Nothobranchius furzeri: one gene and its partner. The protein of the gene in region 1 purifies or fractionates together with the protein of each later gene. This does not show direct contact. Links are inferred from orthologs where the notes say so. Each region holds a gene or a part of one and is shown on either strand. Other genes may lie near its edges.

The links.
Region 2: the proteins of slc15a4 (region 1) and lgals3a purify together in Homo sapiens (affinity purification with mass spectrometry; 3 studies listed by BioGRID and IntAct, counting the BioPlex papers as one, with this or other methods). This does not show direct contact. The link is inferred for Nothobranchius furzeri from reciprocal best matches to the Homo sapiens genes SLC15A4 and LGALS3.

The regions. Positions count from the first base shown.
Region 1 is NC_091757.1:35,119,567-35,123,982, forward strand, and holds the start of slc15a4 (solute carrier family 15 member 4), read left to right. Parts: upstream 1-1,577; 5' UTR 1,578-1,894; intron 1,895-2,104; 5' UTR 2,105-2,146; coding exon 2,147-2,713; intron 2,714-4,416. Other genes in the region: glt1d1 (glycosyltransferase 1 domain-containing protein 1), read right to left, coding at 1,115-1,182. UniProt on the Homo sapiens protein: Proton-coupled amino-acid transporter that mediates the transmembrane transport of L-histidine and some di- and tripeptides from inside the lysosome to the cytosol, and plays a key role in innate immune response.
Region 2 is NC_091758.1:19,583,195-19,587,730, reverse strand, and holds the start of lgals3a (galectin-3), read left to right. Parts: upstream 1-1,461; 5' UTR 1,462-1,609; intron 1,610-1,977; 5' UTR 1,978-1,980; coding exon 1,981-1,995; intron 1,996-2,121; coding exon 2,122-2,829; intron 2,830-3,669; coding exon 3,670-3,758; intron 3,759-3,847; coding exon 3,848-4,004; intron 4,005-4,536. Other genes in the region: gmfb (glia maturation factor beta), read right to left, coding at 763-765. UniProt on the Homo sapiens protein: Galactose-specific lectin which binds IgE. May mediate with the alpha-3, beta-1 integrin the stimulation by CSPG4 of endothelial cells migration.

The DNA of each region.
Region 1 (4,416 bases):
CAGCAGCCTAAGCAAAGAGGCCCAGACCTTCCTCCCTCCAGCCACCTGGGCCAGCTACTCCTGGAGATCCCCAAGGTGATCCCTGGCCAGCTGAGAAACATAGTCCCTCCATCGTGTCCTGAGTCTTCCTTTAGGTCTCCTCCTGGTTGGACATGCCTGGAAAACCTCACCAACCAACCTGATGCCTGAGCCACCTCAACTGGCTCCTGTCTATGTGGAGGAGCGGTGTATCTACTTCAAGCCTCTCCCGGATGACTGAGCTTCTCACCCCATCTCGAAGGAAAAGCTCAGACACCCTTTGGAGAAAACTCATTTTGACTGCTTGTATCAGCAATCTTGTTTTTTAGGCCACTACCTAAAGCTTGTGACCATAGATGAGGGTTGGAACGTAGATCAACTGGTAAACCGAGAGCGTCGCCTTCCGGTTCAGCTCTCTCTTCAGCACAATAGACTGCATAACTGCAGACACAGCACCAATCGATCTCCCGCTCTATTTTGCCCTCATTCATGAAAAAGACCCAGAGATACTTATTTTAACCCATAAGTTAATTAAAATGGTTAGTGACTGTATGATCTCTTGTATAATAACTTTTATGCATCTCTTTTGAATGATCAATCTGATGAAAATAAGCAAAGTATGTTTTTATGAAAACATGTATAAACCAAGAACAAGCTTTAACTCAACTTGTGGCTTTTGCATGAATTAAAATAAACTTTTTTACCTAATCCTACATTAATAGAACATACCAAGCTAAGCTAGGAAAAGGTCATTTGCAACAGGTAGTTGGTGTGCTTTTTAAACTAATGCATAAAATCTGTAAATGCCACTACGGGCAGCGAACAGTTTTGCAGCAACTCAAAAATGTATTGGCCAAAAAATTCTGAGGTTTCACTGAAGGATGCGACACTTCCTTGATGCTTAAGATCACGTTTAAGCCGAGGTACTGACAGTTGTTACGTGCATTTCACAGATATTCATAATGGTGTAGGTGGTTTAGTGCAGCACCACCAAACAGCTTCACTTATACATAACATCGGTTAGGAATTACCTGTAAGTTACTAGCTAATTAATGCGCCGTAATGGGTTGTTTCCATTCGTTCTAGAGTAAATTACCTTATTCTGTCAGCTGTTGTATGGTTCCCGGTTTGGGGGCTGAGAGGGGCGAGGAAGAGTAATTTCATTTCTCCACAACAAAATGCTCTTTGTGCAGCTAACACTGGTGACGACCAGCCAGGAAAAAGCGACACACTCTCCGCGCTTCAGCCGGCTCTCTGAACTCAGCTCCTCTCACATTTCCTGGATTCATGCCCGTAGCTTCCACGTAAGGTAAAAGCTGACGACAGCTACCTCATATTACCAGAGAACCACGCTTGAAATGTTTACAAGTCCGTCTCCAATCCTACTCCCTGGAAACACATGTACCGGTGGAGATCAGATTTATATGATTTTTATTCCGTTTTATTTGAGACGTCGCATACAGGACATCCTGATTGCACATCTATTTCTGGAACACTTTTTGACAGTACACTCATTCGTAACTAATTATGTTAAAGTAAAAAAAAAATAGAAACAATATCTAAAACTAACCACTTCCTTATTCTGATGGTTCAACGCATGCGTAAACGGGAACAGATATCTAAATCATATGGATGGGCTCTTACGCTCCTTCTACAAGTCTGTAGGGAACAGTGTAGTTACGTATCGTCTACGCAGCGACGCAAATGTGGCTGTTTGCAGTGGGCCGGCTGAGTGTCACGCGATAGAGGTGTGACTGTTTTTGTGGACTTCCAGTTCTCTTTTGAGAAAGTATGAAGCTAGAAAAGAGAAACTAGTGCGGTTAGCATTAACGGGGCTAATTGAGATAACGGAAAACAAGTGTTTCATCAATTGAAGGTAATGTAAAACCCAACATTTACAGCTATATTCGTGTCACTGCTGAGCTAGCTTAATAATGTTTGTACTAAGTGTATGTTTTATATTTATTTAGAAAGTCAGGTCTCTAACAATTCACACGTTGTTTTCTAAATCGGTGTTAGTTGTATTCAGTGTCTACACCAGATGACAGCTTTAATTCATCTGTTTTTAATGTATATTTTCCTTCAGGTCTTACACAAACCAGGACCAGACCAAAGTTGACTGTTAATCATGGCTAACAACGGGGATGCCGATGAGAGCACCCCTCTATTGGACTCCGATGACACGCCTTTACCCCCATCAGTCTTCCAGGGAAGGAGACTTGCTTGTGCTGCCATCCTTTTTGCTGAATCCCTAGAGAGGATTGCTTTCTACGGCATCACATCCAACCTAGTACTGTTTCTCAATAGTAATCCTTTTTATTGGCAGGGTACTCAGGCAAGTCAGGCTCCTCTGATGTTCATGGGGATAACTTACCTGATTTCACCATTCGGAGGCTGGTTAGCAGATGCATACCTGGGGAAATTTTGGACTATTGCCTCAAGTTTAATCTTGTATTTTATTGGCATGCTATTTTTCCCTTTGATTTCACGTGATGACAGCAGGATACGGCTATGTGGAGAAGAGACAGCATTTCCACTGCAACCTGTTGAATGCACAAACGGCACCCGTACACCAGATGTTAACTGTCCTATTCGAGCCCCATATTGTGGCCCAGTGGTCTACATTGGACTGTTTTTAATTGCACTAGGTGTGGGGACGGTGAAGTCAAACATCACTGCATTTGGAGCAGATCAGGTAACGTAAAAAAACCTTTTCAGACTTTATTGTCATTGTAGAAGTAGAGAGTAAGTTCCTTGTAACCTAAGGGATCTGTTTATCATGTGATTCATCTGCTAGATCAAGTGTGCAGTGTGCAATTATGGTAGTCAGATGTGATTGATATCCTCTGTTTACCATGACATTTTGCTGAGACACACATGCTCTTAATCTCCATGACGTGAAAGTATAGTTATGTGAAATGAAAGTATGAAAATATGTTTCATGCAAAAGGAAAGTTTGTTGATGATGCTGAAGGTGCAAACCTTTGGTCATCTTTGCCTACTAATAAATGTGGTATAGTTTGCTTGGGAGCAGCAAAGCACACTTAGTGTAAGGGATGTAGGAAAATATCAATACACTGAAATAATCTCAGTAATTCATCATAAGATGCTGATTCAACATTTGAAAGCAGTTTACAGAATATATTATTGAGAATTTACACGACCATATCTATATCTTTAGGTGTGGTGTAATTCAAACTCTCACTGCTAGGTGGCAGCAATTTTTACAGCTTTTACGTTTTACATTCTGACAGAACAATATCGCCAACACTTTTTGTAGCAATATATCGTATAGTTGTCCCTGTTTTGTGGAAGATACAAAAAGAAAAGGAAAGAAAGAAAGAAAAACGATCTTTTATTTAGCGCCTCTCAAGATAAATATCACAAGGCTCTTTACAAAAACAACACATTTAAAATATAAAAAAGATTTAAAAAAACGATTAAAAATATGTTTAAAATTACAAAAAAAAATTCATTTGTGTTTAAAAAAATGTAAGGAAAGGGAATGAGAAAATGAATAAAAAAGAGGGAAATCGGTGGACCCTGGGAAAGGTGGAATAGTTAGAAAGAGCATAAAAAGGAGAGGGTGGTGGCAAAGCCAGCCTGAACAGGTGAGTTTTCAGCTGCTTTTGAACTGTATCACCTGATTCTTGCCAATGCACTTCCTAGCTATTGTAATATTTTACATATAATATTTCTCTCTCCCTGGGCTATCACCTTACCGTGGTGGAGGGGTTTGAGTGTCTCAGTGATCCTAGGAGCTAAGTTGTCTGAGGCTTTTTGCCTCTGGTAGGGTCACCCATGGCAAACAGGTCCTAGGTGAGGGATCAGACAAAGAGCAGCCCAAAGACCTCATTTGATGAATTATATAAATGGAAACCGTGTTCCCTCGCCCGGACATGGGTCACCGGGCCCCCCCTCTGGAGCCAGGCCTGGAGGTGGGGCACGTTGGCGAGCACCTGGTGGCCGGGCTTTCACCTATGGAGCCCTGCCGGGCACAGCCCGAAGAGGAAACGTGGGTCCCCCTTCCCATGGGCTCACCACTCGTGGGAGGGGCCAAAGGGGTCGGGTGGTAGTCGAGGGCAGGGACCTTGGCGGTCTGATCCTCGGCTACAGAAGCTGGCTCTTGGCACATGGAATGTCACCTCTCTGGTGGGGAAGGAGCCTGAGTTGGTGTGTGAGGTTGAGAAGTTCTGACTAGATATAGTTGGACTCACCTCAACGCATGGCTCTGGCTCTGGAACCAATTTCTTTGAAAGGGGTTGGACTTTCTACCACTCTGGAGTTGCTCCCACTGAGAGGCGCAGAGCAGGGGTGGGCATACTAGTGGCCCCCATCTTGGTGCCTGTACTTTGGGGTTTACCCCAGTGAATGAGAGGGTAGCCTCCCTCCGCCTAC
Region 2 (4,536 bases), on another chromosome or scaffold:
TGACACGAAATGAGAAATAACCACCCAGCATAAATTTATATTGAAAAGAGTCAAGGTGTCACGACACAGTCCTAACGACCCGAAGGGAAATTCATCAGAAAAAGAAGGCGAGTTAGCGTAAAAGCAGCTCCCAGAAGCCAGGCATGTTAAAACCCATCATCAGACAAATGAATGATGCGTCAAGCTGCCTACGCACCATAGCAGGAACACGACACCACGCACTTCACAGTAAAAGCATCTGGACTTGAAAATTTACCCAAACTAGCCGATTCAACGGTAAAAACACAATAGCTGGTCACAACCTTGAAACAGCTATTGCTAATAAATTATTAAAAGGATATTATATATTTTTAATCATCAATTATTCATTTGAGTGGGTCGAATACACAAAATACACACATTTGAATAATAAGTAATCAATTTCAAATTTGACAATCAACAGGTAATGATTAATACATAAATTGTCAGAGATTATTTATATAAATAATGTGTGTTGATAAATGATCATGCATGTTGCTTTCCGAGGCCAATAAATCTATTTTATTCTGAAAATACTGACCGGAAACATATTCGATGTGCGTTGACAAACTTGCCACGATACACAAAAAGAGGGTGGAACTAATGCTAGGCTAACAAGCTAACAATTACAATCTGCGACTTTTCATAAATAATTCGCAGAATTAATTTGTGAAGAGTTCGTTATTAAAACACAAAAATGACAACGACGCCACTCCACGTTCACAAGCAAACAGAACAACTCACCATTGTTGCTGCGTAAAATCCCTCCTAACGCTTCTGCTGCTGTTGTGAATGGCAGGAACGCTTTCTGTGTTTTTTTTTTTCGTTTACTTCATATCATCTTGTGACTGGTTAGACCAATCCCAAACAGGCACCCCTTCACTTAAACCCTGCCCAATACATTCAGCTCAGCAGTAAAACGTTATTTTAAATGATACAACCGCACGATTAACACATTGTTTAAATAATCCAGTTTAATTTCACAGCATAAAAATAAATATTTACATTTTATTCTTGCATATATATCAGGAATAAGGAGCTGTAATCATTCATTCTTCATTTACTCAGTCTGGCTGTGATCGATTCTACTGGTTACACACGCGCGCCCGCACACACACACACATACACACACTTTTTTTCCCCATTTTCTAAACGTTGTAGTCAACCTTTTTGCTCATCCACGTGGGCTTGTATGTATTTATATTTGATATATAATGTATATAATGTACATTATATTTATATGTAATGTGTGTATTTATATTTAACCCAACCGAACCCAACTGTGTAAAATGTGCATTGTAAATAAAGTTAGATTGGTTTATGAAAAGTTTTGCCCCCCCTCAAAAAAAACCCCCGCTGTGGACGCTTGTGTGCGCGCGCGCACCGGAACGCACCCACCCCGTAATATACGTCATCAGTTAAGCGCGTGTGCGTCTTTCCTTTTCAGGAGTTGTAGTTGTGAAAGCACATCTAACGTTAGCTTACACTTGTGAGCCTCGGCAGCCACAACAAGCAGGTTGAACCGTTTCCAGTGCTGGATAATTCGTCGCTCTTACCCTCCGTGGTTTAAGGAAAGTCCAGCTTTTGTCCGGTATGTTCAAAAATCCGCTTTAGTGCATTTTACTGTACTCAGATCTGAGCTAAACAAGCGTAAACTACTAACAGTTAGCTGGTGTTAGCTAGATCGGTAGCCAAGTCTGCAACATATTACTAGAAAATTCGTTCCTGTTTCCTCGCTAATATGCTATTCACTGTCATGGCATTTGTGTAACTTTCCACTGTAATATATTTAAGTAATGTCGAGTTGTTTGGAGCCTGTCAAAATGGATTCTGTTAATCTCCACGGTTGTAGGATGGAAACATTTACTCAGAGCTCAGACCTGCCCAGTGATTCTGACACTAGCTTGTTAAAACCGGTTACTATAAACTCACGAGAGTTGTTTTTGTTCCTTCTTTTAGATCATGGCGGATTTCTCGGTAAGTTGAAAATGTTTACACTCACCTATTTACGTCCCTTCATATTGTTTTTATTATTAGCTTGTAGTTGAACAGATCTGTTGTTGTGGGTGGAGACGGCTAATTGTACTTTCTCTCCCTCTCTAGCTGACAGATGCTTTAGTAGACGAACCATCAAACCCGCCTAAGATAGACAATACCAATCGTTCTGTACCAGACAGAAATCCCCCGCCTCATTCAAACCCAGGATGGCCTGCTTCTGCCCCAGGAGCTCCCATCCAGCCCACAGCACCTGCTGACTTTAGTGGCGGATTGTCTGGCCCAGGTGCACCAGGCTCATTCTCATATCCCTCAGGTCCTGGAGCACCAGGGCAATACTCCGGACCTCCTTCAGCACCTGTTGGGTTCCCTGTTGGTCCTGGTATACCTGGGCAGTACCCACCTGCACCAGGAGCTCCAGGCCAGTTTCCCTCAAGTCCTGGGGCACCTGGGCAGTTCCCTGGCCAGTATCCCCCTGAAGGAGTTCCAGGACAATTACCTGGAGGCCCTACTCCTTACCCAGCTGGACCTTTTCCTTCTGGCCCTGGAGCTCCTGCTGGACCATATCCAAATGTGCCTTTTCCTGGTAGTCAGCAACCAGGAGGAAATGGGATGTACGGACCAGGAGGTCCAGGTACATTCCCAGCTCCAGCTGGCCCCAGTTCATTTCCAGCATTCCCTGCTGGTGGGTTTCCCCCAATGCCACCTGGATCATGGGGAGCACCGGCAGGAGGTGGTTTTCCTCCTGCACCTGGCCCTTTTGGGTCCAGTCCTATGAGTCCATATGGGGGGCCAGCCTGTCCAGGAGGCACATTGGTGAGTACTTGTTCTTCTTGGAAACATTTTTCTTGCTTGCTGCACTTCTTATCTGGTGTATTTCTCATTTGGTGTTTGGTGGCAAGTCAAGGTGGTGAGCAGAAACGGTCACGTTCATGATCTGGTTTTGGTGGCGGCTGCATTTGGGTTTTATTCCTTCGTCTTTGAACACTGCTCGGGTGCAATTTTTATGATAAGCAGAAGTAATCTCTTTTCAGAAGGAATCATAGAAAAATCTATTTTTGTCTTTCAGCCCAGATATAATCCACCATTTTATTGAAAAGTCGGACAAGGACATCACTTCCAGCTTCAAAGCGTGGTTTGATTAGTGCCAAAGACTGACTGTATTCCGTATCTGATGGCAGTTGTGTTCAAATGTAAACAATAAACTGGGTGTAATTCTTTCAGTGCAATATTAAATAAGTTATATTTTTACAGAACATCTATTCCCTAATGATGAAAGTTTACTCGGATATTTTCTATCATTACAGGACAGATTCAGATCTGAGGTGTTGGAAATGTAATCGTTAAACTGAACTTTTTACTTTTTCATTACTTTGAGAAGTCACCGGGTGTTGAAACAAATGAAGAAAGTTATGACTCATTCAGGTGCTGTGGTAATAATGTTGGCAGGGTCAAAGTTTTGATTAATGTTTAACTGAATTCCCTTTATTTCCTGACAATAAACTTGTATGTTACCAAGTCAAGAGTGTTGTTAATAAAGGTTAAACGCGTGTGAATCTTCCCTGTCGGATGTCATTTATCGGGTAAAAACTGTTTTTATTTATATATTTATGCACAAAGTGCCTGTCTCATTTGTGTTGTAAATGTTTCTTGCAGATGTTGCCGCATGATCTCCCCCTTCACGCTGGAATCATGCCGCGACTTTTAATCACGATAATCGGAGAGCCTGTTCCTGGTGCAGTCAGGTACACGTTCACAAATAGCATTCAGCTCATGGGACTGATGTCAGATGTGGTGTTAGGGGAGAAAAACAACTATTTGTTTTCTTTTTCAGGTTCAATGTTGACTTCATCAAAGGTTCAGATGTGGTTTTTCACTTTAACCCTCGGTTTCATGAGCAAACCATTGTTAGAAACTCTAACTTAGGAGGTTATTGGGGGCCCGAGGAGCGCGAAGGACCCTTCCCCTTCGTTGAGGGACGCCGTTTTGAGGTAAAATCAAAACAAAAAGCTCAGGAGAAAGAAATATAATTTTATTTTTACATCTGTACTTTATAATAAGAATACAGCAAATGTAACGGAACACAGAGACTTTTGAAATTTTATAAAAGATGTAAAGGCAGCTTTTTGAGAGTGATGCTACGGTGGTCCTCCATGTTAGATGTGATTCCACCACGACATGTTTTATGCAGGCGTGAGATGCAATATTTATTTACACCTAATTCAGCAAGCTTTAGTTAGATTCAGTATCAGAAGTGTCATCTCAGCAGCTTCCTGACGGGCCCGCTGATCTAATAATTACAGAATTAAGGTAACTTTTATGTGAACTTCCTATGGTAGTGGTGGTTTTTTTTTTTATTAGTGAGGGTCCTGACTTAAAGAGCAAGTCACCACCCTGCCTGAGTCTTTCTCCACTCACACTTCTTGTTTGAAAAAAGCACAAGGAGGTGTTGCCTGGCAGACCAGGTGGGCAGATCTGCGCTAGAGAGTGACAGACTGCTACCCCCACCCCCCTGCGCTCGAT